Linked DNA regions of Saccharomyces cerevisiae S288C. The protein of the gene in region 4 binds, or shares a complex with, the protein of the main gene of each other region. Each region holds a gene or a part of one and is shown on either strand. Other genes may lie near its edges. A codon is read from its position in the direction of its gene.

Region 1 (7,394 bases), on a different chromosome or scaffold from region 4:
TTCAATTTGGGGGGGTTTCGACTGATTGAAAGCGATTTCGAGTACAACGACGATGAAAGCGCCGTTAGGGTTTCAGAAACGACAAAGACACAGCCCGCAGTAAGTGCAAACACAACTAATACAGATACTAGCGAGCGTTTCTTCTCAAACGAACAACAGCTTTTCAACAATAAGTACACCGCTCGCGATAGTCTCACTGAAGCTATAGGTACAAAGGGTGAAAACGCAGACGTACCACCAATTTCAAGGAGATCAACAAATAGTATAGCTCCCCTGTCACTACCAGACACTTCTTCGAATTCAAAGATTACAAAACCAGTTCAGGTGAAGGCAAGAAATACTATTGCGTGCACTCAAAGCGAAGAGTCACAGGCAACTCGTGGTTCAAATCCATTAGATAGCCAATCATCTGCTTCAACAATACATTCTTATAATACGTCAGAGAGTTATGAGAGTAGCATAGATACTATGAGAGCACGTAGAACCGCGAGCCAGCCGAGAGCTTACAATACTACCACACTCCTAGAAGAGAACTGTTTAGATGAAAAATGCCCAAAAAATATGTCTATGGCGGCATTGGAACCTATCCGCTCCATTGATATGCGTGCATTACCTTCTCAAAATATACACCATCTTATCAGAGAGTACTCCAACGTTGACCAGTATGGTCATCAAAGGAGGAATTCCAGTTTACGCGGCGCTGATATGAATGATGTGCATTCAATTAGCTCAAATTCCACTTTACAGACTATAAAAACTGCTAACCTAACCAGGATCTTAACATCAGATGCCACTGTAAGTAAAAAGGATATTGAAACATCCGGCGAATCATTACCACAGTGGATGAGAAAATTTTCATTAACTCCATTACTTGTGTTTTTCCTAAAGAATTGTTTGAGACCGTGCTCTATGGCCGTGATCATCGCCCTAACTGTTGCATTTATCCCATGGGTCAAGGCTTTGTTCGTGACTACCGCTAATACTCCTCACATAAGCCAAGCTCCTGACAATGCACCACCATTAAGCTTTTTCATGGATTTTACAGGTTATGTCGGTGCCGCATGTGTTCCATTTGGGTTGATATTATTAGGAGCAACTTTAGGAAGATTAAAGATTGGCAACCTTTATCCTGGATTTTGGAAAGCCGCTGTGACACTCGTCATTTTGAGACAATGTGTCATGCCAATTTTTGGTGTCCTATGGTGTGATCGGTTAGTGAAAGCTGGATGGGTTAATTGGCAAGATGATAGAATGCTACTATTTGTTATAGCAATCAGCTGGAACTTGCCAACGATGACTACCCTTATATATTTCACCGCCAGTTTTACGCCGCCAGAAACAACTGCGCCAATCCAAATGGAGTGTGTTTCATTTTTCTTAATGCTGCAATACCCGCTAATGGTTGTTAGCTTGCCATTTTTAGTGTCTTACTTTCTGAAAGTACAGATGAACCTTTAGTTTTAATCCATTAAACAAAAAATTATTACCACTCCTAATCACTGTTTTAGGGTGGGTTAAAATTAACATTCTCCATTTTTATATAGAACTAATAAAAAACACCTACTTATAGACACGACCAAACTTTCCACAACCTTTCATCAGAGAGAAATGTTGATCAAGTTGAATGCGTGAAAGTAGCAATTCGAAACAACAACTACCTGTCATTCTGCATAGTAGTAGTTACGAAAGGCACAGAAAATAACAAAAAAAAAAAAAAAGTCAATTTTCTACGGTCTCCATCCGTACCTCTTTAAATCCGTACATTATTGTTTTGCTTAATTTCAATATTTCGGAAAAAGCGAGCGCCCTGGTAAAATGTGGTTCAAGCCTGCGAGCCTTTGCTTGGTAACTCACCAAATGCAATTCAGTCACGTTCCACACAGTTTGGGTTTCCAGCCTGGCTTTAGGGAAGAATGGGCTCACTAGGCGTTCATAATACGCGGAGGGGGAAATACCAAATGCTATTGATTATGGTTAAAATATGTGTTATTTGACTTTGTATATACAAACAGAAGAGAAACCAACACACTAAAGACTAGACACATAACTGACCAATGTCCTCTGTCCAATCCAAGATCTTATCCCAAGCTCCAAGTGAGTTGGAATTACAAGTCGCCAAGACCTTCATCGATCTAGAAAGCTCCTCTCCAGAACTAAAGGCTGACTTGAGACCATTGCAAATCAAATCTATCAGAGAAGTATGTTAAAAGTTATATAATTTGGAAGCAGCAACATTGTGATTTCTTCTAAAGGGGTTCTTTGCAGTAATTTTTTCAAAAAAGAGTGATTTTGAGCAGTATCTGTATGAAATTTTCATGTGTTCGAGAAAAATAGTAATTCCGAGAGCTGTCAATACCATGAACGTTGCGATGAGCCTTTGAACTATAAAGGCCTCCTTGGTCAGTACCAATATCGATGAATAAAATAGAAGCACGCGAAAAAGACCTTACCCCAAGGAGAAGAATCACAAACCCTTTTTTGTTATGAATGAACCAATTCAGTTACTAACTTTATTTCAACGCTGCTTGATTCTTATTGTTTAGATTGATGTCACCGGTGGTAAGAAAGCACTAGTCCTTTTTGTCCCAGTTCCAGCTTTGTCTGCATACCATAAGGTCCAAACCAAATTGACCCGTGAATTGGAAAAGAAATTCCCTGACCGTCATGTTATTTTCTTGGCTGAAAGAAGAATCTTGCCAAAACCATCTAGAACATCTAGACAAGTCCAAAAGAGACCAAGATCCAGAACTTTGACTGCTGTTCACGACAAGGTTTTGGAAGACATGGTTTTCCCAACTGAAATTGTCGGTAAAAGAGTTAGATATTTGGTTGGTGGTAACAAGATCCAAAAGGTTTTGTTAGACTCCAAGGATGTTCAACAAATCGACTACAAGTTGGAATCTTTCCAAGCTGTCTACAACAAGTTGACTGGCAAACAAATTGTTTTTGAAATTCCAAGCCAGACCAACTAAATAGTGAGATAACTATCATTCTCATCATTTGTCATACTTAAAGAAAATAATATTAAGAAAAAATAATAAAAAAAGAAACATAGTTATGAGAATACAAAAGGAGGTTTCCAAAAAGTGGGCTTTTTTAATTCGAGTAAAATAATTATGAATGTATACTTAAATATATTTTGTATCTGTCAATATAGAGATGCTTTAATTGGTGTTTTGACATTTTGGAATACATATTGGGTTGATTTCCCAAGTTCTCGCTGCAATCAGATAAAAAGGAAAAAAAATAATGGTTGCTAAGAGATTCGAACTCTTGCATCTTACGATACCTGAGTATTCCCACAGTTAACTGCGGTCAAGATATTTCTTGAATCAGGCGCCTTAGACCGCTCGGCCAAACAACCACTTATTTGTTGAAGAAAAAGCATTATTTATCGCTAGACAACGATACGTCCATCAACAACCGTTAGTTCTTTCACATTGATATGCGGATTACTTATCTGAAGGAAAGGAAAAAGGCGTGGAACAAGTGAGCATTAACATAACCATCTGAAATCTTAGATGATCCCAAGTATGTGTAATTAGATCCGCCTCTTCGCCCAGCACATTGTCCATGCATTATCTGCTTACCTCTACGCGTACCTTGACATGGCGTGTTACGTGTTTCAACTTTGTATAATCAGAATTTCATTTGAGTATATTTTACAAGTCAAAAGCCCAAATGACGTATACTTGAAATAATTGAGGCACGTCCAATTGTGAGTGGCAAACCTTTTTTTCGGTATTCTAGATAGAGCTAATCGCGTATTTGCAATTATAGTTTACAATTCTTAGACGATTTCCGAAGAAAGTTAAAAATGCCCTTGAAAAAAAAATATGTAGGAAAGAGTGCATGCACATGAAGAAGAAAGAAAGAGCTAGGGAAAAAACGAAAAAGGAGCCTAAGGAAAAGAGTTAGGCGTTTACAACAGGACGAACCCGGAAGGAGAAAAGTTTGTAGTCTTGCAGTATCACAAACAGCAACCACGTTCATAGTCTGAAATACGTACAAATGAGTTCACCAGCGAACCTATTCCCTGGATTAAACGACATAACTGACGTGCTGGAGGAATTCCCACTGGCCACCTCCAGATATTTAACATTACTACACGAAATAGATGCAAAATGTGTGCATTCTATGCCGAATTTGAACGAGAGGATAGATAAGTTCTTGAAGAAAGACTTCAATAAAGATCACCAAACACAAGTAAGACTGCTCAATAATATCAACAAGATTTATGAAGAACTGATGCCATCGCTGGAGGAGAAAATGCATGTCTCATCCATTATGCTGGATAATCTAGACAGATTGACGTCCCGGTTAGAATTGGCGTATGAAGTCGCAATCAAGAACACAGAAATTCCTAGAGGTTTAAGACTGGGTGTGGACAACCATCCAGCAATGCACCTCCATCATGAACTAATGGAAAAAATAGAGAGCAAATCAAACAGCAAATCGTCGCAGGCACTGAAGAGCGAATCAAGAAGAGAAGCCATGGCTGCCAACAGGAGGCAGGGCGAACATTACTCCGCCAGCACACACCAACAAGACGACTCAAAGAACGACGCAAACTACGGAGGCAGCAGGCACGAGAGCCAAGACCACACTGGTAACAACACAAACTCAAGAAAAAGAGCCAACGCTGCCAATACCAACAACGCCGATCCAGAGACCAAAAAACGCAAGAGGAGAGTTGCCACCACAGCCGTTTCACCAAGCACTATCAGCACGGCAACTGCCGTCAATAATGGCAGGATAGGTACATCTACAGCGTCCAGGGGAGTTAGCAGCGTCGGAAACAGCAACAACAGCAGGATATCAAGACCAAAAACCAACGACTACGGCGAACCGCTCTACTGCTACTGTAACCAAGTGGCATACGGGGAAATGGTGGGGTGTGATGGCGCAGACTGTGAGCTAGAATGGTTCCATTTGCCATGTATTGGACTCGAAACTCTACCTAAGGGCAAGTGGTATTGCGACGACTGCAAAAAAAAACTGTGAAATAGCTCTCGGGCGAATATCGCCTTAAGGAAATATCTACTAAATACCGAATATATACATATATATATATCTTAGCTACATATATATATATCTTAGCGTTTTAACGGGCGTGGCCGTATCAATGGATCTGCAAGATACTTGGGCCCTACCGGTCTAGATAAAATATTCAAATCGATGGTGATGACGGCACGATAAAACGTAATAAATGATGAAATGACTTGTCACGGCGTAGCAGCGCCAGCAGCTCAGTCTAATCGCCGTACAGTGGGTGGTGTGGCTAATCGCTTAGGCTTTTTATTCAGAAGGACCTTTTCATTCACCTCGCCCCCCTTGGAGGTTCCTGCCTGACCCCTTTGCCCCTGGCCTCGCCCCTGCGCCATGTCTCTGCCTGGAGCGTGACATTTAGGACGGTGAAGCTAGGCAGGCCTTCAGAAATTAAACGGAACATGACAGCAAAGACGAAACAAAGCTGGAATAAGGGGATCTGGGAAAACGGGAAACAAGGTTCACATCAGCAAACATTTCTACCGAAAATCTGGGTAAACATTTATAGTACCCCAACATCTTAAGTTTTAGCCGTTGTCTTCTCTTATCGCCTAGAATCGCTCATTTCAAGCGTAACGCAATCCGGCTTTTGTTTTTTTTCCATTTTATTCATCCACTCTTTATCTGACTCTTCTGCACTATATTAATCAACTAGGAGAAAATTACTTGAGCAGAAAGATACGAGAGAATTACGGATAAAAAAACCAAGTTAACCGTTTTCGAATTGAAAGGAGATATACAGAAAAAAAAATGCCTTTGAACAAGTCGAACATAAGAGAGTACAAGCTAGTCGTCGTTGGTGGTGGTGGTGTTGGTAAATCTGCTTTGACCATACAATTGACCCAATCGCACTTTGTAGATGAATACGATCCCACAATTGAGGATTCATACAGGAAGCAAGTGGTGATTGATGATGAAGTGTCTATATTGGACATTTTGGATACTGCAGGGCAGGAAGAATACTCTGCTATGAGGGAACAATACATGCGCAACGGCGAAGGATTCCTATTGGTTTACTCTATAACGTCCAAGTCGTCTCTTGATGAGCTTATGACTTACTATCAACAGATATTGAGAGTCAAAGATACCGACTATGTTCCAATTGTGGTTGTTGGTAACAAATCTGATTTAGAAAACGAAAAACAGGTCTCTTACCAGGACGGGTTGAACATGGCAAAGCAAATGAACGCTCCTTTCTTGGAGACATCTGCTAAGCAAGCAATCAACGTGGAAGAGGCGTTTTACACTCTAGCACGTTTAGTTAGAGACGAAGGCGGCAAGTACAACAAGACTTTGACGGAAAATGACAACTCCAAGCAAACTTCTCAAGATACAAAAGGGAGCGGTGCCAACTCTGTGCCTAGAAATAGCGGTGGCCACAGGAAGATGAGCAATGCTGCCAACGGTAAAAATGTGAACAGTAGCACAACTGTCGTGAATGCCAGGAATGCAAGCATAGAGAGTAAGACAGGGTTGGCAGGCAACCAGGCGACAAATGGTAAGACACAAACTGATCGCACCAATATAGACAATTCCACGGGCCAAGCTGGTCAGGCCAACGCTCAAAGCGCTAATACGGTTAATAATCGTGTAAATAATAATAGTAAGGCCGGTCAAGTTTCAAATGCTAAACAGGCTAGGAAGCAGCAAGCTGCACCCGGCGGTAACACCAGTGAAGCCTCCAAGAGCGGATCGGGTGGCTGTTGTATTATAAGTTAATAAAAAGGAAATAGTTGTAGAAACGCTAAGACGAAAAGAACTCTATAAAGTTGAAACGAGTACACACATTTATAAATATATACAAAAGTAAATAAAAAAGTGACTGTTTTTATATTGCTTATTGCCATTTGCTATTTCCGTTTCATTCTTGTTAACATTGGAAACTTTGGGCAATATCATATGGTTGCCGGGTAAAGGAAAAAACAAACAACATCGCTATAACATAAAATTGGACATTGCAGAGAGTCATCAATCACATCCATTTTCACAAGAAAGAGGTGTTCCACCTGGAATAACAAGCTTCTCTTTCCCCTTAGAATGACATCTAAAGTTGGTGAATATGAGGACGTTCCAGAGGATGAGTCCCGCCTCACAGAAGAGAACGTATCCGTACCTGAAGAAGAAGTAGAAGACGAAGACGAGGAAGAAGACGACGATGATGATCATATATATATCAATGAAGAAACAGAATCTGGTCGCGAAAAGGTCTTGGTATCACATGCCCCACAAGAACGTATCGTTCCACCTTTGAATTTCTGTCCCGTTGAAAGATACCTCTATAGATCTGGTCAGCCTTCACCTGTGAATTTCCCCTTTTTACTAAACCTAAAACTGAAAACAATTAT
Region 2 (8,288 bases), on a different chromosome or scaffold from region 4:
CCATACGGCGGAACAATAAAAAAAATGAAAGATTTCAGTACAAAAAGAACTTTACCCACCTGGGAAGATAAAATAAAGTTTCTTACATTTTTAGAAAACTCTAAGTCTGCAACGTACATTAATGGTAACGTATCACTTTGCAATCATAATGAAACCGATCAAGAAAACGAAGATAGGAAAAAAAGGAAAGGGAAAGTACCAAGAATCAAAAATAAAGTGTGGTTTTCCCAGATAGAATACATTGTTCTTCGAAATTATGAAATTAAACCTTGGTATACATCTCCTTTTCCGGAACACATCAACCAAAATAAAATGGTTTTTATATGTGAGTTCTGCCTAAAATATATGACTTCTCGATATACTTTTTATAGACACCAACTAAAGTGTCTAACTTTTAAGCCCCCCGGAAATGAAATTTATCGCGACGGTAAGCTGTCTGTTTGGGAAATTGATGGGCGGGAGAATGTCTTGTATTGTCAAAATCTTTGCCTGTTGGCAAAATGTTTTATCAATTCTAAGACTTTGTATTACGATGTTGAACCGTTTATATTCTATATTCTAACGGAGAGAGAGGATACAGAGAACCATCCCTATCAAAACGCAGCCAAATTCCATTTCGTAGGCTATTTCTCCAAGGAAAAATTCAACTCCAATGACTATAACCTAAGTTGTATTTTAACTCTACCCATATACCAGAGGAAAGGATATGGTCAGTTTTTGATGGAATTTTCATATTTATTATCCAGAAAGGAGTCAAAATTTGGAACTCCTGAAAAACCATTGTCGGATTTAGGATTATTGACTTACAGAACGTTTTGGAAGATAAAATGTGCTGAAGTGCTATTAAAATTAAGAGACAGTGCTAGACGTCGATCAAATAATAAAAATGAAGATACTTTTCAGCAGGTTAGCCTAAACGATATCGCTAAACTAACAGGAATGATACCAACAGACGTTGTGTTTGGATTGGAACAACTTCAAGTTTTGTATCGCCATAAAACACGCTCATTATCCAGTTTGGATGATTTCAACTATATTATTAAAATCGATTCTTGGAACAGGATTGAAAATATTTACAAAACTTGGAGCTCAAAAAACTATCCTCGCGTCAAATATGACAAACTATTGTGGGAACCTATTATATTAGGGCCGTCATTTGGTATAAATGGGATGATGAACTTAGAACCCACCGCATTAGCGGACGAAGCTCTTACAAATGAAACTATGGCTCCGGTAATTTCGAATAACACACATATAGAAAACTATAACAACAGTAGAGCACATAATAAACGCAGAAGAAGAAGAAGAAGAAGTAGTGAGCACAAAACATCCAAGCTTCATGTAAACAATATCATAGAACCGGAAGTACCTGCTACTGATTTTTTTGAAGACACTGTTTCCTCCTTAACAGAGTATATGTGTGATTATAAGAACACAAATAATGATAGATTAATCTATCAAGCGGAAAAAAGAGTGCTGGAAAGCATCCATGATCGCAAAGGGATACCAAGATCAAAATTTAGTACAGAAACTCATTGGGAGCTCTGCTTCACTATTAAAAACTCCGAAACACCACTTGGAAATCATGCAGCTAGGAGAAACGATACTGGAATATCAAGTTTAGAGCAGGATGAAGTAGAAAACGATGTAGATACTGAATTATATGTAGGTGAAAACGCCAAAGAAGATGAAGACGAAGACGAAGACTTTACCCTTGATGATGACATTGAGGATGAGCAAATATCAGAAGAAAATGATGAGGAGGAAGACACATATGAAGAAGACAGTGATGATGATGAGGATGGGAAGAGAAAAGGACAAGAGCAGGATGAAAACGATATAGAAAGCCACATAAGGAAGGAGAGAGTCAGAAAAAGAAGAAAAATAACTCTAATAGAGGATGACGAAGAATAAGCGGCGATGGGTATATATTGGATATAAGCATATACATGTAACATTATTAATAGCAATAAGAACCCTTGTAGTCAATAGTATTACAGAATTCTCCTACGAATAAATTTTATGTGTATATATAAAGATATATATGTGTGTGTGTACATGTGTGGGTGCGATTAATTTGTACTCATTAAACGAATAGTCAAAACAAACTAAATTCGTCTCTTAGCTTAAAATATATTTTTAAAGATAGAATTTATACCTGGAAGTTCATCTTGCTCATTGCGTATGTCATTTGCGCTGGTCATAGAAGAAAGCTCACTAGACTTTGGATTATCATGTTTAGCCTCTAACATACCGTAATTTTGCGATTGCTGCGATGGCGTGTTAATGCCATTCTCCTTGTGCAGTGGGTCAATGTCATCCTCCTCCTCCTCGTCTTTGCATCCTTCATTTGTATGAAAACCACTTACACGTCCTTTTCTCTTTAAATAATCCATTCTTTGTTGGATTTCCAACTCGGATCTATTATTAGGCAGAACAATAGAAATTTCTAGCGGCGACAAATGGTTTTGTTTGTCCTTCGTATTGTTAAGTAGCACTTCATCATCTTCTCTAGACCACGGGTGTTTATTAGCGAATTTTTGCATATCTAAGAAAGTCCTCGTGTGCGTGATTTTGTCATTTGCGTGGTCTGTCTTGCAGTTGGGAGACGCTATGGGGTTAAGATAGTATTGGTGCTGTGGATGATAATGAACGGATTGCGATGTAGATAACCTTCTGGGTGACATATACGGGCTAACTACCAAGGAAGCTCTTCTAGAAATAGGCTCCGTAGGAGCGTGAGAGTTGAAGGATGATCTTCTTGAATGCATCATGTTAAAAGATGATCTTCTAGAAGAAATTACGGAATGCGAGTTTTTCCTAGTCTTCGTCGTTGAATGAGGGATTTGAGTTGAAGGAATAAAGGAGTTCCTTCTAGACCTGATAATAATTTTAGGCACAAGACCAATATTCTCATAATCATTGGAATTAACAGCTTTATTTGTCTTTGCTGAAGTAGTGTTATAAAGGCTTAGATTTGTCTGCTGAGCAGTCTTTACATTAGGCGTGTTGGTTGTTATAGAATGAGAGAAGGACCTTGGCTTAACAAACAGTTTCCTTGGTTTCGTGTGTTGTGGCTCATGGTCCGAAAATGTTGATGTAGATCTTTGAGTTATCAGTTTTCTGTCCATGTATTTAGGCTTAACTAATGGCTTGAAATCCGGTGGAGAATCCTCGATAGCACTAGAACCTGCAGTAATATCTTCATCCTCAACAGCTTCCTCTTTTACGGCTTCTTCCGCAGACGGAGTACCCGCGGATGGGGTAGCATCACCAGTCGCATACACGCCGAATAGCTTATTGATGTCAATAACTGCGGTCTTGTTAGACTTTAAGTTGCCTGATTTCAGTCTCCTCCATCTGAATTGACAAGCGTTAGGAGTTCTATTTGGGAAATGATGTGCAATCTCCTTCCAGCCCAAGTTCTTGATCTCTTTCAGGTGGCGGAGCTTGATATCATCACTAGGGTCCCAAGAAGAGGGGTTGTTTTTTTTGAGTGATTCCGCCTCCTCCTTGTTCGTGCTGTTCTCTTTAGTGCTAGTGCTACTGATAGGCAGGTGGCTCTTCGCATTTGTGTGAGAAAGTGAGTGGGAATGGACAAGATTATTTGGGTGAGGGTGTTTGCTTAGTATTGAGAAACCATGTGAGTTGGCACTAACATGTCCTGATGAAACAGAAACGCTACTGAGTTTCGGCAACGTCATCGCGAGGGAACTTCAATAAGAACAGTGATATATTCTTTTCTCTACCCACTGTCGTGTATATGCCTTCTTGAGTGAGTAGTTTTAATGACTCAAGCAGTGGAGATTTGCCAGATTTGTTTACCTGAAAACAAAATGATATGAAAAGCCTTTATTAATATCAACGTACAAAAACTATACACGACTTCTGTGTAAGGAAGTAGAAAAGTGTCTCATCGCATTGGTCTCGCATCTCATCGCATCGCATCTCATCTCAATTTTCAAATTTCAGCTCTCAGCAGAGAAAAAATTTTTTTTTCACCGGACCAAAAATAGCCTCTCTCACCCACAGATAACGTCGCACACTAACAAGATGATGAGACAAGATAGGCCAAACCGCTCAAAAAGGAACTCGAAGAAGAACGGAAGTGGAGTTTAACTTTAGAACCTAACTGCTACTAAGTGTTGATACGCTAGGCAAGACACCTGCGAAATCCCGCTGCGAAATACCTGCAAAGAGGTTGCTAAACAGCAGCCAGAAGACTTGCGCTAGTAACGTTCCTGAAAAGCTTTGCACTGCAGGCATTTCTGAGCCTTTTCCGGCCTTCTAGAAGGCTTAGCCCCTACTAACGCCGGGTTACTTAGAACAGCACTCTTCTAAGAACAATCTTTCCAGCATGCTGGAAGGGCCCAGTGGTGATGTCCTGGTAGCAATGGACAACTAAAGGTGGACACTTTCGCTGCCAAGGCATTTTTTTGAGGCGCCAGTACTGTTATAGTTATATGTGGGGCATCTTATTGAAATCCTCGAACAAAAGTTGTTCTAGGCTCTGGAAACCAATTTTGACACAATATTATAGCATGACATCAACTGCCACGGATTCTCCGCTGAAATACTATGATATTGGATTGAATCTGACAGATCCTATGTTTCACGGTATTTACAATGGTAAGCAGTACCATCCAGCAGATTATGTAAAATTATTAGAGCGTGCTGCTCAGAGGCACGTGAAAAATGCCCTTGTTACAGGATCATCCATAGCGGAGTCTCAAAGTGCCATTGAGTTGGTAAGCAGCGTCAAAGATCTTAGCCCGTTAAAGCTGTATCACACAATAGGTGTTCACCCATGTTGCGTTAACGAGTTTGCGGATGCTAGTCAAGGGGACAAGGCTAGCGCTTCTATTGATAACCCTTCCATGGATGAAGCATATAATGAGTCTCTATATGCTAAAGTTATTAGTAATCCATCTTTTGCACAGGGTAAACTGAAAGAGCTTTATGATTTGATGAATCAGCAAGCAAAACCTCATGATACAAGTTTCAGGTCAATTGGTGAGATCGGGTTGGACTACGACAGATTTCACTATAGTTCTAAAGAGATGCAAAAGGTTTTTTTTGAAGAGCAACTGAAAATAAGTTGTTTGAACGATAAACTCAGCAGCTATCCATTGTTTCTGCATATGAGAAGCGCATGTGACGATTTTGTTCAAATATTGGAAAGATTTATTGCCGGGTTCACTGATGAGAGGGATACCTTTCAGCTACAAAAGTTAGGTGCATCGTCGTCTAGCGGGTTTTACAAATTTCATCCAGATAGAAAACTAGTGGTCCATTCATTCACTGGTTCTGCGATAGATTTGCAGAAATTACTGAACTTATCACCCAACATCTTCATAGGAGTAAACGGTTGCTCGTTGAGAACCGAGGAAAATCTAGCTGTTGTAAAGCAAATACCAACAGAAAGGTTGTTATTAGAGACAGATGCTCCGTGGTGTGAGATTAAAAGAACGCATGCATCTTTCCAGTACTTAGCCAAATACCAGGAGGTTAGGGATTTCGAATACCCTGCATTCAAGTCCGTTAAGAAAAATAAGCTCGCTGACAAGTTGAATGCAGAAGAACTTTACATGGTCAAGGGCCGTAATGAGCCTTGTAATATGGAACAAGTAGCAATTGTCGTATCGGAAGTCAAGGACGTGGATCTGGCTACTTTGATAGATACCACGTGGAAGACGACCTGTAAGATATTTGGAGAGTAACATCTATTGGTGCAAAGAGCAAAGTTACATTATTTTTAGTAAGTACACTAATTATGCTTAAACTATTAATAGGAAAATTATGGTGCGCATATACATACAGTCGATATTGCTTTCATTTTTTTTTTTTTTTTTTTTCTATTTTTTTCATCAAAAAGGATTCAAAGGTTACCAACAAAATAAAAACAGAGTAAGGAAAAACAGATGTATCTATATGAATAGGATTTATAAATTCTGTTACAATTTATCATTCTCTCGTAATGATTTTTATGAATTTCACCATCTCCTCAATATGGGCCGCAAAGATGATCCAGTAAAAAACAATCCATCGGCAGAAGAGGAATAACAAATAAAGATAACAAAGTTTGACTACTCTTTCGTTGCAAAGTACGGTTCGACAATATTTATTATTCAATTTCTTCAATCTTGGAACCCTTCTTCGCATTTTCATTCTTGCCGTTTTCTTCGCCGTCGTTATCATCGTTATCATCAGCATCATTAGGTTCTGTTTCTCCTGCAGCCGCATTGCTTAAAGATGCCAACATATCTGATAAAGAAGCACCATGGAAATAAGAAGTGTTGCCGTCACTGTCGGAGCTGGGCCTCTGCCTTATTTGAATCCCGGCTTCTAATAGAGCCTCCAACGAAAACAAGTCAATAGGGCCAGTTCTATCCTCACCTGATAACTTTGAGGGAGTAGCACTGCTGCCTAATTCGGTATCAAGATCATCAATTTCCATGTCGTCATTATCTTTACTACGATTCAAGCGGTCTTGTAATTTTTTGGTGGTTATTGCGAACACTTCGTTATCATCATCCGAAAAATCATGGAAATCAAAAATACTTTTCCTTCTTTGGACAAAAGACGTTTGGATATTGTAATTTTTTGATCTCATACGCTCAAACCATTGTGACTCAGATTCATTTTCCTTTAGTAAAGCAACAATGGAAATACTCATATTATCACAGCCAATTCCTGAGCCTTCAGTTGTGGGTGAACAACAAACATCTACGATTCTAGATGAAATGTCGCTCAACGTCATATTACCTTGACTTATACCGTAGTGAACCAAGTCAACACACTCTTGAGAAGTTAAACAATCCCAAATACCATCACATGCTAAAATAACAAATTCATCCTCATCATAATTCAAATTGTGACAAATGATATCAGGAACACATGTAACGACTTGCTCATGAGGTCCCAATTTTGTGTTAGATTTGAATTCAAAATCACCTATGGCTCTTGATAACGCTAAATTTCCATTAACACGGTCCATCTCAACAAAACCATCAGCAGCTACAATACGAGATTTTTCACTTAACAATGTGGGCTTATGATCAAATGACATTGCTTTACTATTACCACCAGTAGATAGAACTGTTCTACTATCACCGGAATTGGCGCAAATTAGTAGCTTTTTCAATTGAGATACCAATATCACAGTTGCTGTACAACCACTATGGTCATCTTTTAATTTTTCATCTTTCAACAACTCAACATCTGTAGCTAAAAAGGTATCTATTAAGCACTGCTCTAACATACCGCTCTTGAAGCTCTCCTGTTTTTTCAGTATAGATATCATTTTAGAGCCACAAAACTCCGCTACAGAAGAACCACCATGACCGTCAAATATACCATAAAATGCGAGATGTTCCTCGTCAGACTCAGCCAAAAGGTTCGGCTCAACAATATGGGCATCTTCCATGGACATACGCCAGCCTTGCATGGCACATAGTCCAAACGCTGTCAAACAGTCCGTACCAGAATGATGCTCTTTGTCGATAATTGGATTGGACAATATTTGACCCATGTTATCTCTCTCTTTCTTCGATTTGTCTTCTTGGCCTTCTTCGTCTGCCTATAATAGAAACTTCAAAAAGTAAAATGAATATAGTCTAAAAACAGAAAGGGGCCTTCCGGTGGCAACAATCGAGCCAACAAGCTCTAAACACCTTTTACTCCTTTGAGTTTATTCTCTTGAGGGACAACCCATGTTGTTTTTTCTTCAACTCGCTGATATCACGCCTGACGAAAATAATGTTTAAAGGTTATTACTACTCTTCTAGAAGCTCTTAAGCATAAGAGCTAATTGTTTCTTGCTATATTACTTGTTGACAGCGGAGTAACATGATAACGTCTTTTTAATGGAAAAGATGACAGTTTCTTCGAATTACACCATAGCTTTATGGGCTACTTTCACCGCAATCTCCTTTGCCGTGGGTTACCAGTTGGGTACGTCGAACGCATCATCAACTAAGAAATCCTCAGCTACTTTACTGCGTTCTAAAGAAATGAAGGAAGGAAAGCTACACAATGACACTGATGAGGAGGAAAGTGAAAGCGAAGATGAGAGCGATGAGGACGAAGATATTGAGTCCACTTCATTGAATGATATACCTGGAGAAGTTAGGATGGCATTGGTGATTCGTCAAGATCTTGGCATGACAAAGGGCAAAATAGCGGCACAATGCTGTCACGCAGCATTGTCATGTTTTAGACATATTGCTACAAACCCCGCGCGTGCTTCATACAACCCAATTATGACACAAAGATGGCTAAATGCTGGA
Region 3 (7,207 bases), on a different chromosome or scaffold from region 4:
ACAATAGGAAAAACGCGACGGCAGCAAATAATAAAATCAACGGAGAAATGATGGAGTAGGAGAAAGTAATAACTGCCAAGTTTGTATAAACTGGAAAAGCTGTCCCCCACTGCATACTGGATAGCCCACAAAAACGATTCCATTTCTTCCTAACGGTACCATCTAAAAAGGCACCTAAAACATAAAAGAGTATTAGTGGAACAATTTGCAAAAGAGCACCTGATGAAATGGACAGACCTTGTAGAATAACGTATGACATGAAAAAATTAGAAGCTTTTGGCAGATTAGAAGCCAGTAGATCCATAGCCTTCGTGGGCTCTTTAACAATTTCCGTTACTGTGGAAGTGGCGGCGGAGGATAGAGTGGTAACTAAAAAGACTTGGATAACTTGAAAGGCGAAATAAGCTTGTTGAGTGAAATATTCCACATTTTGCTTAGATGGAGCACCTTGAGTGATAGCCATACCCCTAATAAATTTCGGCAAGAAACTCATTAAAACGGCCAATGCCACAGTTGGGGCCAGAGATGTCAGTAAACCTAATAGTTGTTTTGGTAATTTATAGATGAACTTTAACCATTTAACTTCATTAGTCAAGGAAGTAATATTAGAGATCATACCAACAAAAGCCACTGGGAAAGCCCATAATATTACTAGCGCGACAATTGCTGAAACCGCACTGACTTCCCTACCTAATCTTTCCCACCAGAACATCCTCAAATTAAACCAAACGACATCGGATGGCTCAATACCAATATACACAGGCGTCATGAAAAGAGGAGCATGGTATGTGGTGATCTGAGCGGCAACTTGGGCCTGATATTGGGATTCAAACTCCACAAAAACGGAGTTGAAAGGGGATGAATTTTCATGATCTTCTTGTAATGCCTTCACCTTTTGGTTTAACTTGGGCAACTCCTCCTTAATGTAGGATATGGTGTCAACTTTTTTACCAAAAAAGAATTTAGCAACCTTGTTAATTTTATGATGTGGTCTTTTCTTGTCAGGGACATATTCAGCAATATTATCAGAGACAGATAATTGCGGACTTTTTTTGTTTAACTTCTTAATTTTTTTCAATGCTGCTTTCAGGTATTTTGTTTCAGCACCTTCCAATTGTATGGCCATATTGTCCCTTGCTTTGACCATTGCTTCAATTGAACCGGAACCTCTTGCGATCCAGACTCTTTTCACACCATCAAACAACTTAGAAAACTCTTCTTCACTTAAGTATTGCTTAGGGACAGTCTGGAATAACACGGTTCTCGAGGATAGTTTTTTAGCATAACGAGGGGACGCTAGTACAGCTTGCTTCATAGAGGTGTAAAAATACAATTCTCTGTAAATAATGTAAAGGAACCCCCAAAAGAAAATCCATCCACAGAAAACATGTGCAAAATATCTACCACGGTGCTTGACGTTCTGATAGGCCAATTGATTCAATCCGCTTTCATGGTTACCGTTACTGGCGTTAATGGACAACAAAATAGGGAATATATAACTCATGGAAACAGCACAGTAAATTGCAATGATGAAAAGGTACCTCAAAAAGAAATATCCATCCAGACCGGCTTGTTGAATGACAAAATTGTCTGATTTTTTCAATAACGGCTTCAGCCATTGCCAGACGCCCTGCGGTAGCGGTTCTGGCTTTTTTTCTTCATTAATCAGATTGAATGAGGATTTGGGCTCATAAATCCTTTTTAGTTTTATACGCAAAATCAAGAACGCTATGACAAAAACACCAAAAATAGTACCATTACTTACCAAAGAAGTAACGACTTGTTGAGTTGACGTGTTTGTACTGGTAGCTGTTGTAGTACTATTAGTACTATTAGTACTATTCATTTTGTCCCTTTGCCCTTGCTGCTAAGCCGTAAACTTATGATTACTAAAACAAAAAGAAACGGAAAAGGCAAACGAATTAATATATATAAGATGAAAAAGAAATAGAAAAAAACAACAAACCGAAATTTGATTACGAAATGGCCATTAATAATAATATTATACAACCAGGCACGGGACAACATCAAGATCGAGTGCCAAGCCATGCGGCTTTGCTGTTGGTTATCAAGTATTTTCTTCCTTTTCCACGATAAAAAAACAAAGATGAAGAATTTTTTTCCAACTTCAAAACCGAAGCTGGCCCACAGAATCCACACAGAAGAAACTTTATACCCGAAAGGAGAAGAAAGGGTGTGCCTTTCCCGCTAAAAAATCGTAGCCAGGAAAGGCCGCCCCTGTGATGTCAGCTGCGGGAAGTGATTCGCGCAGAACGACTCACGCAGACGGAACCGCAGCGATGCTGTGGTGCACGGCGGGTAACGGAAATAGAAGAAACGAACCCGTAGATCAGGTCTTACATTACTATAGCGTATAATGGAAGAAAAAAAATGAATTATCATATGTGCTGTTTGTCTGCATAACCCAAACGAGTATAATGGAAGAATTTGAAGAATTTCGAAGGAAAGGGGAGATGTCCAGCAGATGTGGCAATCACCGTGTGCTCAGAAAATGGAATAGTTGCGCTTGCGAGTTGGCCGTGCCCTTTGAGGTTCCTGAGCATGCGATTACGAAATTGCACATATACGACTTCGACAATACATTATTTGCAACGCCGGGTCCTACAGAGCAATTGTATACACGTGAGCTACTAAATTTGTTGACATCGAGCACGCTACCGAATGGAGGCTGGTGGAATGAGCCGGGGTTTCTGCAGGCTGCTATTGAGATCTCGAAGACTAAACCGAGAAGGTATTCGTGGAATGCGGATATCGTTAAATTGGCGGAGGAGTCATATTCTGCCAAGGATACTATCTCGATCGTTTTAACGGGCAGAGAGGAAAGTAAGTTCCATAAGTTGATTGAGCATGCTTTACAGACGGCAAGGAGCCATTGGAAATGCTCAGAAAATGAGTTTAGGTTCAATGCAGTTTGCCTAAAAAAAAGAGCAATTTCTGAGTACACTAGCAAATATAAAAAAGAGTTGATGCGGGATTTCTTAGAATATTATCCCTCTCTGCGGGAGTTGTCCATATATGATGATAGAATACACCAAATAGATGCATTCAAGTCTTTCTTCCATTCTTTGGATCTACCACGTCTGAAATGGTCTGCGATCCCCGTACGACCATTCACCAAATCGCTGCCAAGAGAGCAGGAACTTGAAATGGTGATGGACATGGTACGAAAGAACAATAGCCAAGCTCTCAGCACTTCACAAAAGTTTGATTTAAGACGGACTCCAAGACAAATTGGTTATATCCTTTGCACGGCATCTCATCGTCTATTATCAATAGAGGTCATCAAGTACTTAAAGCGGCGTAAGGGGAGAAGAACGTTCAGACCCAAGCTGTATGAACATCCCTTGTATATACCGTGCGCAGAACCCGGTAAAGATATCCCTGCACTTGAAATCGCTAAGGTATGGTCAAACAATGACACTCGCACGTTTGATTCTGAGAAGAAAGTACAGCATATTTCACAAATTTTTTATCTGGAACAGCCTGGGAAGTGCATCGTACACTTCCAAGTCACAGACCTTGCCGTCATCGCGTCGGCCCACCACAACAGAAGAAAGCCATTGGAGGTTTATTTCAAAGCCACACCCGAACCAAACAGATACACTTTCACTCTCTTTCCAGAATATATAGTCACTGGTCATTTTTACAAAAGAGACCGAATTGAAGATTTAGAAGTGGTAACAGAGCGTCTAATAAACTGCAAGGAAGATATTCACTGGGTTCCGTTAGACAATACAATACCAATAAAGGCATTTTTCGGGCGATTTGCCAAGTTGGCAGCAATACCGTGTTCCAATGCTTAATAATTACATTTTTTTCTTCCTTTTTTTGGGTTATTTATTTAGTCATTTTAAATAAGTAAACACAAAGATATACTTATGCGCATTATGGGCACACTTGCGTGTTCCCGACAAGCACTTAAGCGTTCAAGTCAGCAAACTTTGCAAATCTTTATCACTTTGCAATTTTGTCTCCAAATTCTTTCTGGCTTGCCAAACCAACAATCTCTTTCTCTCTTCAATGTCTAAGTCCTTAAAGCTTAAGTTACTCATATCTTCATTGAGATCCACATGGAATTTATCGAGTAGATTCTCAGCGCAAATCATGTTCTTCTTTCTGGGATCGTTAAACTCTCCGCCACCAGCAGCGTTATTATCAACAGCCGCATTGGCCCCCATTGGCGCCCTGGAGGGCTCAAACCCAGGTGGAAAGCTGAATTCATCACCACGCAAGTACCTTTCCACTGTTTCCTCGACTGAGCCTGTGTTTTCCAAACTATACCTAATTTGCTCAGGATGTAAGTTAGGGGCTAGATTTTGCACTGTTTCCACCATCTGAGTAGTCACGGGGTGACCTCCATTGACTCTACCAGTCCTTCTCAAGGCATTCTGCGTGGAGCCCTGAGGACGTCCGTGTGCGTTTACACCTGTAGCGGATAAGCGTTGTGCTGAGGGATGCTGATTACTTTGGAAGAATTTTTTCAGAAATATAACTCCAAACACAAGAATCAAAGTGATAAGCAATCTCGAATCCTCCATGGCCAAAAGAAAAAAGTTTGCGCGATCGTAGATTGTAATGCTTTATGGCGCCTTTTATAAGAAATAGGTTGATGAGTTGTCTATTCAATGCATCAATGACAGGCCCACCTCAGTTATATTAGATCGTTTAAAATGGCGCGACAGCTACCCGCACCGTATACAAAAAGGCATTAAACTAAATGGAATACTAGCAAATAAACAAGTGTTACTGTCCATTTTAACAATTACCACCTTAAAAGTTTACATAACTTATACACAAAAGGGCTGCCTCATCGTTTGATCAACCCCGAAATTCCATCTTGAATTTCTTCTTCTGGTTTTTTACCTTGTATATAAATTGCGGTATGCAATCTGTCTCTTTAATGGAATGCTCATCGAAATGCCTTCTCACCACGTTGGCCAGGTCTCTCTTATGTATCCTTTTATCGTGCTGCCCCTGTGTGTTCCTCTTGTATGAATAAGTCTTCGCGCCCAATTTGGAACCCAATAAGTATCCCTGCAGCGTCAGGTTGTCCGGTACGTCCAATTGAAAGTGGTCTTTATACCTTCTCAGGAACGCATCCGTATACTCTTCGAAATCCATTGGGTGACTCTTGGGGCGCAGATCAGGGTGGTTGTCGGTGATATGTGTCTCTATGAGATTCTTAATGTACTGCTGTTGTGCAGCTGTGAGTCTTTGCTTCCCATTGGTTCTCCCGCTGGAGGTAGGCCCGTTATTGTTATTGCTGTTATTGCTGTTATTATTATTATTATTATTGTTATTATTGTTATTATTGCTGCCATTGTTGTTGTTACAGCTGCCATTGTTGTTACTTGCGTAACCACCACCCTGAGTGGGTCTGCCTCTCGATTCCGTTTCAGCGTTTGTATTAACTGGCCTAGCCATTACTACTCAGTATATACCTATCCTTCGATTTGCTAAACTATAAAGGAATTGCATTATCACAATAGATACACAACCGCTTTTATATAATTTCTAAGTTAAAATCTGAAAATTTCACAGTATATAAAAAAGAGCGCTTTTTCCCTTCCGGAACGGCGTTGCCTTGCTAAAACACATGCATAGCAAGAAATGGTATACAGCAAGCCTACTTAATATATCTCATTACAGTGCTATGCTGCCACCTCAAAAGCGTTTCACTTGATAAATTTCTGAAAGTTTTCGTATACACGCAAAGCGGCTTGTGAGGCATCCAGTGTCTCGTCCCATGCTCGTGCGATTTGTGCATTCAAATACTGCAGCTGCTCTGTAAGGGCCTTTTGGTATGACGGATCTGGATTGTCAATAGGATAGTCGGTTTCAGTAAGTATGCAAGTTGAGGGCAAGCTCCTGACCAGGGCATCTCCCTCTTCTGGGTCCTTAAAATTAATCCATTTGGATAGGCTCACAAAAATACGATCCGGGGGAAACTTCTTGAGCCATTGGCCCAGAAGCGTTTCCTTGGAGCCTGTGTACGAATGTAAACATATCTTGACAGAGTGATACGTCAAGAGCTCTTCATTGCAGATATCGTTTAGTTTCCCGTGGCACTTTACATCGTGTATAGAGATGGGCTTGCTTGTGTGCCTTGCCAGTCGGCAAAATCGCCTGAATACTGTTTCTTGATGCGATAGTTTGACCTTCACTGTCGTAAGCCTTGCCTTCTCGTTCTGCATGTAGAAACCATTTGCAGGAAGTCTGAAGAGCTTATCAAGACCGATTTCTCCAATCACACTAACCAAAGTGTCGTTAAACTCTCTTTTTATATACTCTTCAAGATCTAGAGGTTCGGGAAGCACCTGAACCAAACTGTCGAACTGTTCTTCATTCTTATACTCCAGTACATCTTGATAGTGAGAAACCTTGTCGCGCCGACTTCCCACATAAAATAAGTGGCTGTACCAAGGATGCACACCAAATCCCACGCATATATCGTTTTTACTTGTGCTTCTGCCAGCCAATTTTTTCAAATTGTTCCAGTCATATGGGTTTGATGACATAACGCAACGCAACGTACCCTGGGACCCTCCATCATCACCGCAGAATGTGTTGTCTGGGTCGGTTATAACATGACAGTGGGCATCAACAAGTTTATTCATCTACTTCCTCAATGAACAGCGTAGTGTAACACCTAACCTCGATAGAGTTGCAATTGCCAGTCTTCTAAAAGGGCCCTTTCTTCCCTACGTAATCAATTGTCCTCCTGGGCTTCGCGCGGTGCCCCTGGAATTAATTAATCCCCTTCAGCACGCAGCAACGGCAACTCCAGGGAGCATCAAGTGGACGAGCAAACATTCAATAGTATTAAGTCTAAGACATAAGTTTTAAGTACCGTTGCTATTCCGCTTCATCTTTTATCACAATAAAACAGTACAAACGTTATTGCAGGTCCTGGCTTTATAATTTATTGCTTCCTATTCAAAAAACCACAGACTAATAACCACGGGCAACCTCAATGACTATTATCGTCGCTTCTTTATTCTTACCATATACCCCTCAATTCGAGGCTGATGTCACCAACTCGGATACTGCTAAGCTGGTTGAATCAAGTATGATCAAGGTAGACTGCAACAACCAGGAATTGAGCAACAACAAGCAAGAAAGAAGCAGTTCTGTAACTTCGGCAAGCTCTCATTATATTGGCTTACCTCAGGAGGCGCAAATTAAC
Region 4 (7,664 bases):
CCCCTTGGCCGAAGAATTGATGTAATTGAATTCTGAAATATTGAAAATAGTAGCTACATTGCCATCAAAACCTCCATGAGTTAAATATGAATTGTTATTAATGTAAACAAACTTAGATGTGGTCCGAAGACTGTTGAGTACACCGCCAGTTCGTAGATATCTGGAGAAGTTGGTAGACTCTTTTATAATTTTGTTCATACGTATAAATGTATAGAAAACACTGTATCTATTCAATTACTCTAAAATTTTCTCTTCTGATCTCTTCAATCACGTCTTTGTCCTTTATGGAGGGCTTGTAACAACCAGGGAATTCCTTCTCATATTCCCTGCCGTGAAGCAATTCAAAAAAAATATCCATGCAAGGGGTGGAGTGGTCTTCGATGTCTTCACCTTTCTTGGGGCACACGCATCGACATCCACATCCGAAGTTATAACCTTCATCGAAAGTGTTGAGATTTTCTTGGCTTTGTAAGGCATTCTTCGGACAATGCTGCAGCGATGAGTGTCTATAACCAATGTCTCTGAAATAATGAACGTCTTCTAGATCCAAGGTCATTCCCAACCCAATTGAATGAATTGGCGCGTCACCCCACCTTTCAGTCCAGAAACCTCCAGACTCTTCCAAAAATTTAAAATAGGCGTTATAGATCTCATTGTCGAATAAATCAACGCGGGCAATTTCAAAGTTACTCCAAAAATGACACAAATTGTAATCTTCCCCTTCAAGGGAATCCTCTAGCATTGGCACCTTAGAGCGGGCCCTTTCAACGAGATATTGTATACCTTCCAAATCTTCCTCATTATTGACTTGACCATGATTCTCTAGCAAAAAGTCTACCATCAACTTTTCTGTCAACTTTGGCTTTGCATCCCAGGGAAAATTGACCCACCTAGAAATTTCTTCATCATCTGTATCTAGAATATTATAATTAAATGTAAATAATTTCCACAACGTGCCGAGATTTTCCTTTAAACCTGCCGTTTTTTTTATAAAGCTTTTGGTTGTTCTGAACAAGTTGGGGACAGTCCAGTACAGTTCAGTTATAAGTACGGTAAACCCATATTTCTTGTTATGTTTGGCCATCTCGAAAAAGGGATCATACGAGATGTCACAAAAAAAGTCCACATCAGGTTCTATTCTCCAATACCATTCATACTTGGAAACTAATGGATGTTTATAAAAGATCCCGGAGTAAAATCGACACATCTTGTGATATGATTCCATATTACCATACATTATACCGCGATCGTTTTGGTCTTCTAATGAAGCCTTAAACTGCAATGAATTACGAACCTTAGCAGGAAACTCCCACATAATTTCATCAACAGTGCCAAACTCTACAGTGGCATTAGTTGCAGCTTGAATTTGGTCCTTAAAATGATCTGTAAAGGGGTCATCATTCAAGAAAACGTACGGATATTTGAACCACTTATTGAAATGGCCCTCTATACTTCTCATAGTTTTCAGTACGTCTTCTATTTCTTCGTTTCTCGTTAGCATAACGAAAGATGCGTTCATTTTGGAGTAAGCAGGATTTTGCAAGTACAGCTTTGTATCAGTGCAGCCCCGGAAAAATGGCTCGTCTTTGTCAGTCGAATAATCCTGTAAGGAATAAGGCAAATTATTTGGATCATGTACAATATCTTTTGCGAAAAATGGCCAGGTCCCCATACAGTAAAGTATGGCGAAGATACATCCTAAAAAGAGGAAACCATATCGTTTTTGTCGACACTTATCCAGCAAGAACCTTCTGACTTTTGGATTCAATCTTATAGCCATGCTAATTGCATCTAATTATGATGTATATTCTAGCCCTTCTTTGGTACAACTGTGCCTATAATCACAGATTGTTAGCCTGATGTATACAGTAAATTTTAGCCAATTTTTTTTTTTCGTTTTCCACTTGTATCCGAGAAAAGAAAGCAAAAACAAAAAGAGCTCACATTGAAATATAACCATCTAATGTAATATAATACAAAGTTAAAGTGGAAGGTTTGCAGCATAAAATAAATTAGTCAGACCTTAGTCTGAAAGGAGCCGGAGGCTGACCTGTTAATTCTCTGATCAAGGAAATATCCTCTGTGACCTCATCTGGTTTCAAAGACTGTAAAGGTGGAGCTGTTTTGGTGGAATATCGTTGAGCACCACGGTTTTTTTTCTTTTCATTCCCATTAGCATTGTCTTTGGGGTTCTTTTCGCCAAACAAAAATGCATATAGATCAGTACCTTCATTTATACCTTGTAGAAAATCTGAGTCAGAGTTCATGCCTGACTTGTAGGTTAGGTTGTTGAAATGGGGGAATTGCGACCCTTGTCTAGAACCATGGCCATTACTTCCAGAACCATTACCAGTTTGAAAATCAGATTCATCTTGATTGTTGTTGTTACCTCTCGTGTCTTTAGAAGCATTCCTTCTCCTTAGCGTTCTTCTATCGTTTCCAGCTCCCGTGTCAGTAGCACTTTCGTTTGCTGTATCTCTTCCATATTCGTTGGACGAAGAATCCCAACCACTTACTGTGTGACTTCTCGTGTTCTTCTGGTATTGCGGTCTGCTATAATTCATGGCATAGGAGTGCACATTGGCCACATCCATTAGTAACCTCTCCTCCTGTAATTTCTTTATTTTTTGCTCTATAGACGAATACAGTCTTTCTTTGCATAATTTAATGAGTTTCTCGTGTTCAGCCTTAGCCTTTTCAATATCTTCTTGAAATTCGATACCGGAACGAGAAACACGGTACTCTTCAAACAGGCGCAACCTGACTAACTCTAGATCTCTTTCTTCCTCCAAATCTCGTACTTGGCGGGCATATTGGCCATTATCACCTTGATGCAGAGAAGTTAAATCCGTTTGCAATGCTGTCAGTCTATCTTTATATTGATTATCTCTTTCTGAGTAAAAATTTTGATAAATCTTATTAACTTTAGATTCGATATTAAATCTTCTTTTGTCCTTGCGGGACAAGTCCTTGTTACTAACCTTTTGAATAGCCATCAATCTTGAAGACAATGCACACTGAGCTCTACAGTTTCTCTTGTTCTCTTAAAGCTTTTCCAAGGGTTCATTTTAGCTGAAAAATTGTTTGCGTTTTTTCTTCCTGAAATCTCAAGCGAAATGATCAATACATAAGCTAAATTAAATAATGAGAAAAAAGATACCTGAAAACATAATTAAGGCATAGAAGAAAAAGATTTGATAAAAGATAAATTTTCAGTTCAATAAAAAGGTTTACATACATCTAATTTTTTTTTTTGACGCAAATTTTTTTGATTACAGACAAGAGCTATGTTTTATTTCGTAGCTAGCTTAGTTTTCGAATGCGCCACCCATTTGTCATGGCGTGCGATGACTTCTGGGATTATCATCTCTTCAATGCTATGGTGTTTTTCATCCAAACGTACCCAATCTCCCTTTCTGTTTTCAGGGGATACGAAAATGACCTGTTTGTTTCTTGTCTGTAAAAGGTTTCCGATAACCAGTTGATGGTTGTATCTATCCAGGGCTTGTGTACATTTGTAAAGCAGCATGGATTCATCAGTTTCTAATTTGAACGAAACGATCATCGCTTGAGTGGCCCATGATTCCACTAATCTTCTCAAAAACTTAGGGACAGGGTCAAGATTCACAATCAGTTTACCATCAGGCGTAGTCCTAGTTGTACCTTCAGTGTCATTATTTGCTCCCATCTTACCGTTGTCTCCTGATTGAATCTTGTGCTGAGGTAGTCTTGAATATGGAACAAAAAAATCACTGACAGCAGCAGCTAAATAAAACAAGCAACCACTATTATTCAATAGCTTGGCTATACTTTTCAGTGACCATAAGTATTGGTTGACCGTGGTGAATGGTAGTAAAAGTAGTTTCTCCTCTTTCTCCATATACTTGTCATAAAGCTTTTTGTTCTTCAAAACATTCTCAGCAAATTCAGGTTTGATTTTACCTTCAGAATCAATGTAGTCCAAGAATAAAGTATTAATGCTATGGGAGAAGGACCTATTATACGGAGTTAATGAGAATTCCCTATGTAAGAAAATAACACTATATCCGTTCGCTAAGAACTGTTCAGCACTCGATGCACCACGAGTACCTGCAGAAAAATTATCGATAAAACGTACTGTATTGTTTTCCAATGGAACAGTAGTACCACCAGAGGTGATAAGAACTATTTTGTTCCTTTTCAGGGAATACTGCAAATCAATAAACTCTTTAGCGTCCTTAATCAATTCATCGATATAGGCAGGTTTAGGGTTAGTTTTGAAATATTGCTCTTCTTCAGTAGTGTAGGCAACGGGAAAGAGCTCTTCCTTGATTGTACGATCAATTGCATGACTTATTTCAGTAACAGACGTATGAATTTGAGGTCTGTTGAGCACGGGTAGAGGTGGCATTGCTATAGTATGAAGAAAAAAAGGAGTGTCTGCTGCTAATCTACACAGTTTATGACAACTAATAAAAGCGTTGTGTGCGTAATTGTCTTAGCCTCTTATACAGATGTCCTGTTGATGACAATGCCTTTAAAAAAAAAAAAAAAACGTTAACAATAGGTCACTCCTCCAGTTTTTGTCGTTTGGCGAATTCGGGTCATCGAATTCTTCCCTTGCCAATAAAGTTGGTGGAAAATACCCAAAACATCGCCTACATATCAAATCCGCAGATTTCAGGCACGCAATTTAGAGCCTACCATCTGTTCATAGTTAGGTTAGGCCATAGGTGGTCATCGTCGCCTCTACTTTCTTAGCATAATCAGGTTTTTTTCTTGATTTTTTTATCATAAATTGTAACTCCGATTTAAGTAGAAGTGAAAAAAAAAATACCCTGTTAATTGTCACAGCATCACTTCTTCCTGTTACTTTCAAAGCTGTAAAGTGTTAGCATCTTTGTGCAAGAAGTAATAAGAATTTAATTGTTAACAGGGTTTGTAGCACTGGTATACGTTTTTCCATATCATGGAACATGTTGTATCTCAAAATGAGATATGTCAGTATGACAATACGTCACCCTGAACGTTCATAAAACACATATGAAACAACCTTATAACAAAACGAACAACATGAGACAAAACCCGACCTTCCCTAGCTGAACTACCCAAAGTATAAATGCCTGAACAATTAGTTTAGATCCGAGATTCCGCGCTTCCACCACTTAGTATGATTCATATTTTATATAATATATAAGATAAGTAACATTCCGTGAATTAATCTGATAAACTGTTTTGACAACTGGTTACTTCCCTAAGACTGTTTATATTAGGATTGTCAAGACACTCCGGTATTACTCGAGCCCGTAATACAACACCTGGTAGCGTTAAAGGTTACTAATTGTTCAAACGAACCATCGAAAAGCCGAACCTAGCTACACCACACCCCAGTATGAGCTTTATGGATCAAATCCCAGGAGGAGGAAATTATCCAAAACTCCCAGTAGAATGCCTTCCTAACTTCCCGATCCAACCATCTTTGACCTTCAGAGGTAGAAATGACTCGCATAAACTGAAAAACTTTATCTCCGAAATAATGCTAAACATGTCTATGATATCTTGGCCGAATGATGCCAGTCGTATTGTGTACTGCAGAAGACATTTATTAAACCCCGCTGCTCAGTGGGCTAATGATTTTGTACAAGAACAAGGTATACTTGAAATAACATTCGACACATTCATACAAGGATTATATCAACATTTCTATAAGCCACCAGATATCAATAAAATCTTTAATGCAATCACGCAACTTTCCGAAGCTAAACTTGGTATTGAGCGTCTCAACCAACGATTCAGAAAGATTTGGGACAGAATGCCACCAGACTTCATGACCGAAAAAGCTGCCATAATGACATATACTAGGCTATTGACAAAGGAAACCTATAATATTGTCAGAATGCACAAACCAGAGACATTAAAAGACGCCATGGAAGAGGCTTACCAGACAACCGCACTAACTGAAAGATTCTTCCCAGGATTCGAACTTGATGCTGATGGAGACACTATCATCGGTGCCACAACCCACTTACAAGAAGAATACGACTCTGACTATGATTCAGAAGATAATCTGACCCAGAATAGATACGTCCACACCGTAAGGACAAGAAGATCTTACAATAAACCAATGTCAAATCATCGAAACAGGAGAAATAACAACGCATCCAGAGAAGAATGTATAAAAAATCGGCTATGCTTCTATTGTAAGAAAGAGGGACATCGCCTGAACGAATGTAGAGCACGTAAGGCGAGTTCTAACCGATCTTGAACTCGAATCAAAAGACCAACAAACTCTTTTTATCAAAACCTTACCAATTGTACACTATATCGCCATCCCCGAGATGGACAATACCGCCGAAAAAACCATAAAAATACAAAACACGAAAGTAAAAACCCTGTTTGACAGTGGATCACCCACGTCATTTATCCGAAGAGATATTGTAGAACTTCTCAAATACGAAATCTACGAGACCCCTCCACTCCGTTTTAGAGGATTCGTAGCCACCAAATCCGCCGTTACATCCGAAGCAGTCACCATTGACCTCAAAATCAATGACCTGCAGATAACTTTAGCCGCGTACATACTGGATAACATGGACTACCAATTGTTAATTGGAAATCCAATCTTACGCCGCTACCCGAAAATCCTGCACACAGTACTGAATACCAGAGAGAGCCCCGACTCCTTAAAGCCCAAGACTTATCGCTCCGAAACCGTTAATAACGTTAGAACCTACTCCGCTGGTAATCGTGGTAACCCCAGAAACATAAAACTGTCTTTTGCCCCCACCATTCTCGAAGCAACTGACCCGAAATCCGCTGGTAATCGTGGTAACCCCAGAAACACAAAACTGTCTCTTGCCCCCACCATTCTCGAAGCAACTGACCCGAAATCCGCTGGTAATCGTGGTGACTCCAGAACCAAAACCCTGTCTCTTGCAACCACTACTCCTGCAGCAATTGACCCGCTTACGACCCTTGATAACCCAGGTAGTACTCAAAGTACATTTGCGCAATTCCCGATACCTGAAGAAGCGAGCATCCTAGAAGAGGATGGAAAATACTCCAACGTTGTCTCAACCATTCAGAGTGTAGAACCTAATGCTACTGATCACAGCAATAAGGACACCTTTTGCACTTTGCCAGTTTGGTTACAACAGAAGTATAGAGAGATCATACGTAATGATCTCCCACCAAGACCTGCCGACATTAACAACATCCCCGTAAAACATGATATTGAAATTAAACCTGGCGCAAGACTACCTCGACTACAGCCATACCATGTTACAGAAAAGAATGAACAAGAAATCAACAAAATAGTTCAAAAACTGCTCGATAACAAGTTCATTGTTCCCTCAAAGTCGCCCTGCAGCTCCCCTGTAGTCCTCGTCCCGAAGAAAGACGGTACCTTCCGACTCTGCGTCGATTACCGCACCCTGAACAAAGCTACCATCTCCGACCCATTCCCATTACCCAGAATCGACAACCTATTGAGCCGTATTGGAAATGCCCAGATATTTACCACGCTAGATTTGCATAGTGGTTACCACCAGATCCCGATGGAACCCAAAGACCGCTACAAAACCGCCTTTGTCACCCCATCCGGTAAGTATGAATATACCGTCATGCCATTTGGCTTAGTCAATGCACCTAGTACATTCGCAAGATACATGGCTGATACATTTAGA

The links.
Region 1: SDS3 (region 4) and PHO23 share a complex: the UniProt entries of both Saccharomyces cerevisiae proteins name them as parts of the RPD3C(L) complex.
Region 2: SDS3 (region 4) and TOD6 share a complex: the UniProt entries of both Saccharomyces cerevisiae proteins name them as parts of the RPD3C(L) complex.
Region 3: the proteins of SDS3 (region 4) and SAP30 are in contact, whole or in part, in a cryo-EM structure (PDB 8HPO), measured with the Saccharomyces cerevisiae proteins. Residues at the interface, in NP_012182.1 of Saccharomyces cerevisiae: Ile21 (codon at 2,936), Lys24 (codon at 2,927), Val25 (codon at 2,924), Ile28 (codon at 2,915), Tyr29 (codon at 2,912), Phe32 (codon at 2,903), Arg36 (codon at 2,891), Gln39 (codon at 2,882), Tyr40 (codon at 2,879), Arg43 (codon at 2,870), Arg64 (codon at 2,807), Arg67 (codon at 2,798), Asp68 (codon at 2,795), Glu70 (codon at 2,789), Glu71 (codon at 2,786), Glu72 (codon at 2,783), Arg73 (codon at 2,780), Asp74 (codon at 2,777), Leu75 (codon at 2,774), Val78 (codon at 2,765), Arg81 (codon at 2,756), Leu82 (codon at 2,753), Pro321 (codon at 2,036), Phe322 (codon at 2,033); in NP_013990.1 of Saccharomyces cerevisiae: Gln76 (codon at 5,220), Tyr79 (codon at 5,211), Arg113 (codon at 5,109), Asp117 (codon at 5,097), Asp125 (codon at 5,073), Leu127 (codon at 5,067), Thr128 (codon at 5,064), Gln130 (codon at 5,058), Gly131 (codon at 5,055), Leu133 (codon at 5,049), Leu134 (codon at 5,046), Leu138 (codon at 5,034), Gly139 (codon at 5,031), Thr142 (codon at 5,022), Tyr143 (codon at 5,019), Ser144 (codon at 5,016), Arg147 (codon at 5,007), Asn148 (codon at 5,004), Asp154 (codon at 4,986), Arg156 (codon at 4,980), Thr178 (codon at 4,914), Pro182 (codon at 4,902), Gln183 (codon at 4,899), Ile185 (codon at 4,893), Tyr186 (codon at 4,890), Lys189 (codon at 4,881), Asn190 (codon at 4,878), Phe195 (codon at 4,863), Lys196 (codon at 4,860), Met197 (codon at 4,857).

What each region holds. Positions count from the first base shown.
Region 1 is NC_001146.8:438,976-446,369, reverse strand, and holds PHO23 (Pho23p), read left to right. Parts: upstream 1-4,011; coding exon 4,012-5,004; downstream 5,005-7,394. Other genes in the region: YNL095C (uncharacterized protein), read left to right, coding at 1-1,458; 40S ribosomal protein eS7 RPS7B, read left to right, coding at 2,055-2,198, 2,544-2,972; PLS1 (Pls1p), read left to right, coding at 5,451-5,573; Ras family GTPase RAS2, read left to right, coding at 5,800-6,768; putative tyrosine protein phosphatase OCA1, read left to right, coding at 7,087-7,394. UniProt on the Saccharomyces cerevisiae protein: Component of the RPD3C(L) histone deacetylase complex (HDAC) responsible for the deacetylation of lysine residues on the N-terminal part of the core histones (H2A, H2B, H3 and H4).
Region 2 is NC_001134.8:113,005-121,292, reverse strand, and holds TOD6 (Tod6p), read right to left. Parts: upstream 3,705-8,288; coding exon 2,127-3,704; downstream 1-2,126. Other genes in the region: SAS3 (histone acetyltransferase), read left to right, coding at 1-1,914; YBL055C (3'-5'-exodeoxyribonuclease), read left to right, coding at 4,464-5,720; type 2C protein phosphatase PTC3, read right to left, coding at 6,125-7,531; PTH2 (aminoacyl-tRNA hydrolase), read left to right, coding at 7,866-8,288. UniProt on the Saccharomyces cerevisiae protein: Component of the RPD3 histone deacetylase complex RPD3C(L) responsible for the deacetylation of lysine residues on the N-terminal part of the core histones (H2A, H2B, H3 and H4).
Region 3 is NC_001145.3:793,157-800,363, reverse strand, and holds SAP30 (Sap30p), read right to left. Parts: upstream 5,446-7,207; coding exon 4,840-5,445; downstream 1-4,839. Other genes in the region: RSN1 (Rsn1p), read right to left, coding at 1-1,846; YMR265C (uncharacterized protein), read left to right, coding at 2,439-3,824; CUE1 (Cue1p), read right to left, coding at 3,948-4,559; YMR262W (putative endodeoxyribonuclease), read right to left, coding at 5,697-6,638; TPS3 (trehalose 6-phosphate synthase/phosphatase complex subunit), read left to right, coding at 6,995-7,207. UniProt on the Saccharomyces cerevisiae protein: Component of the RPD3C(L) histone deacetylase complex (HDAC) responsible for the deacetylation of lysine residues on the N-terminal part of the core histones (H2A, H2B, H3 and H4).
Region 4 is NC_001141.2:200,264-207,927, forward strand, and holds SDS3 (Sds3p), read right to left. Parts: upstream 2,997-7,664; coding exon 2,013-2,996; downstream 1-2,012. Other genes in the region: YIL086C (uncharacterized protein), read right to left, coding at 1-198; KTR7 (putative mannosyltransferase), read right to left, coding at 227-1,780; phosphopantothenate--cysteine ligase CAB2, read right to left, coding at 3,293-4,390. UniProt on the Saccharomyces cerevisiae protein: Component of the RPD3C(L) histone deacetylase complex (HDAC) responsible for the deacetylation of lysine residues on the N-terminal part of the core histones (H2A, H2B, H3 and H4).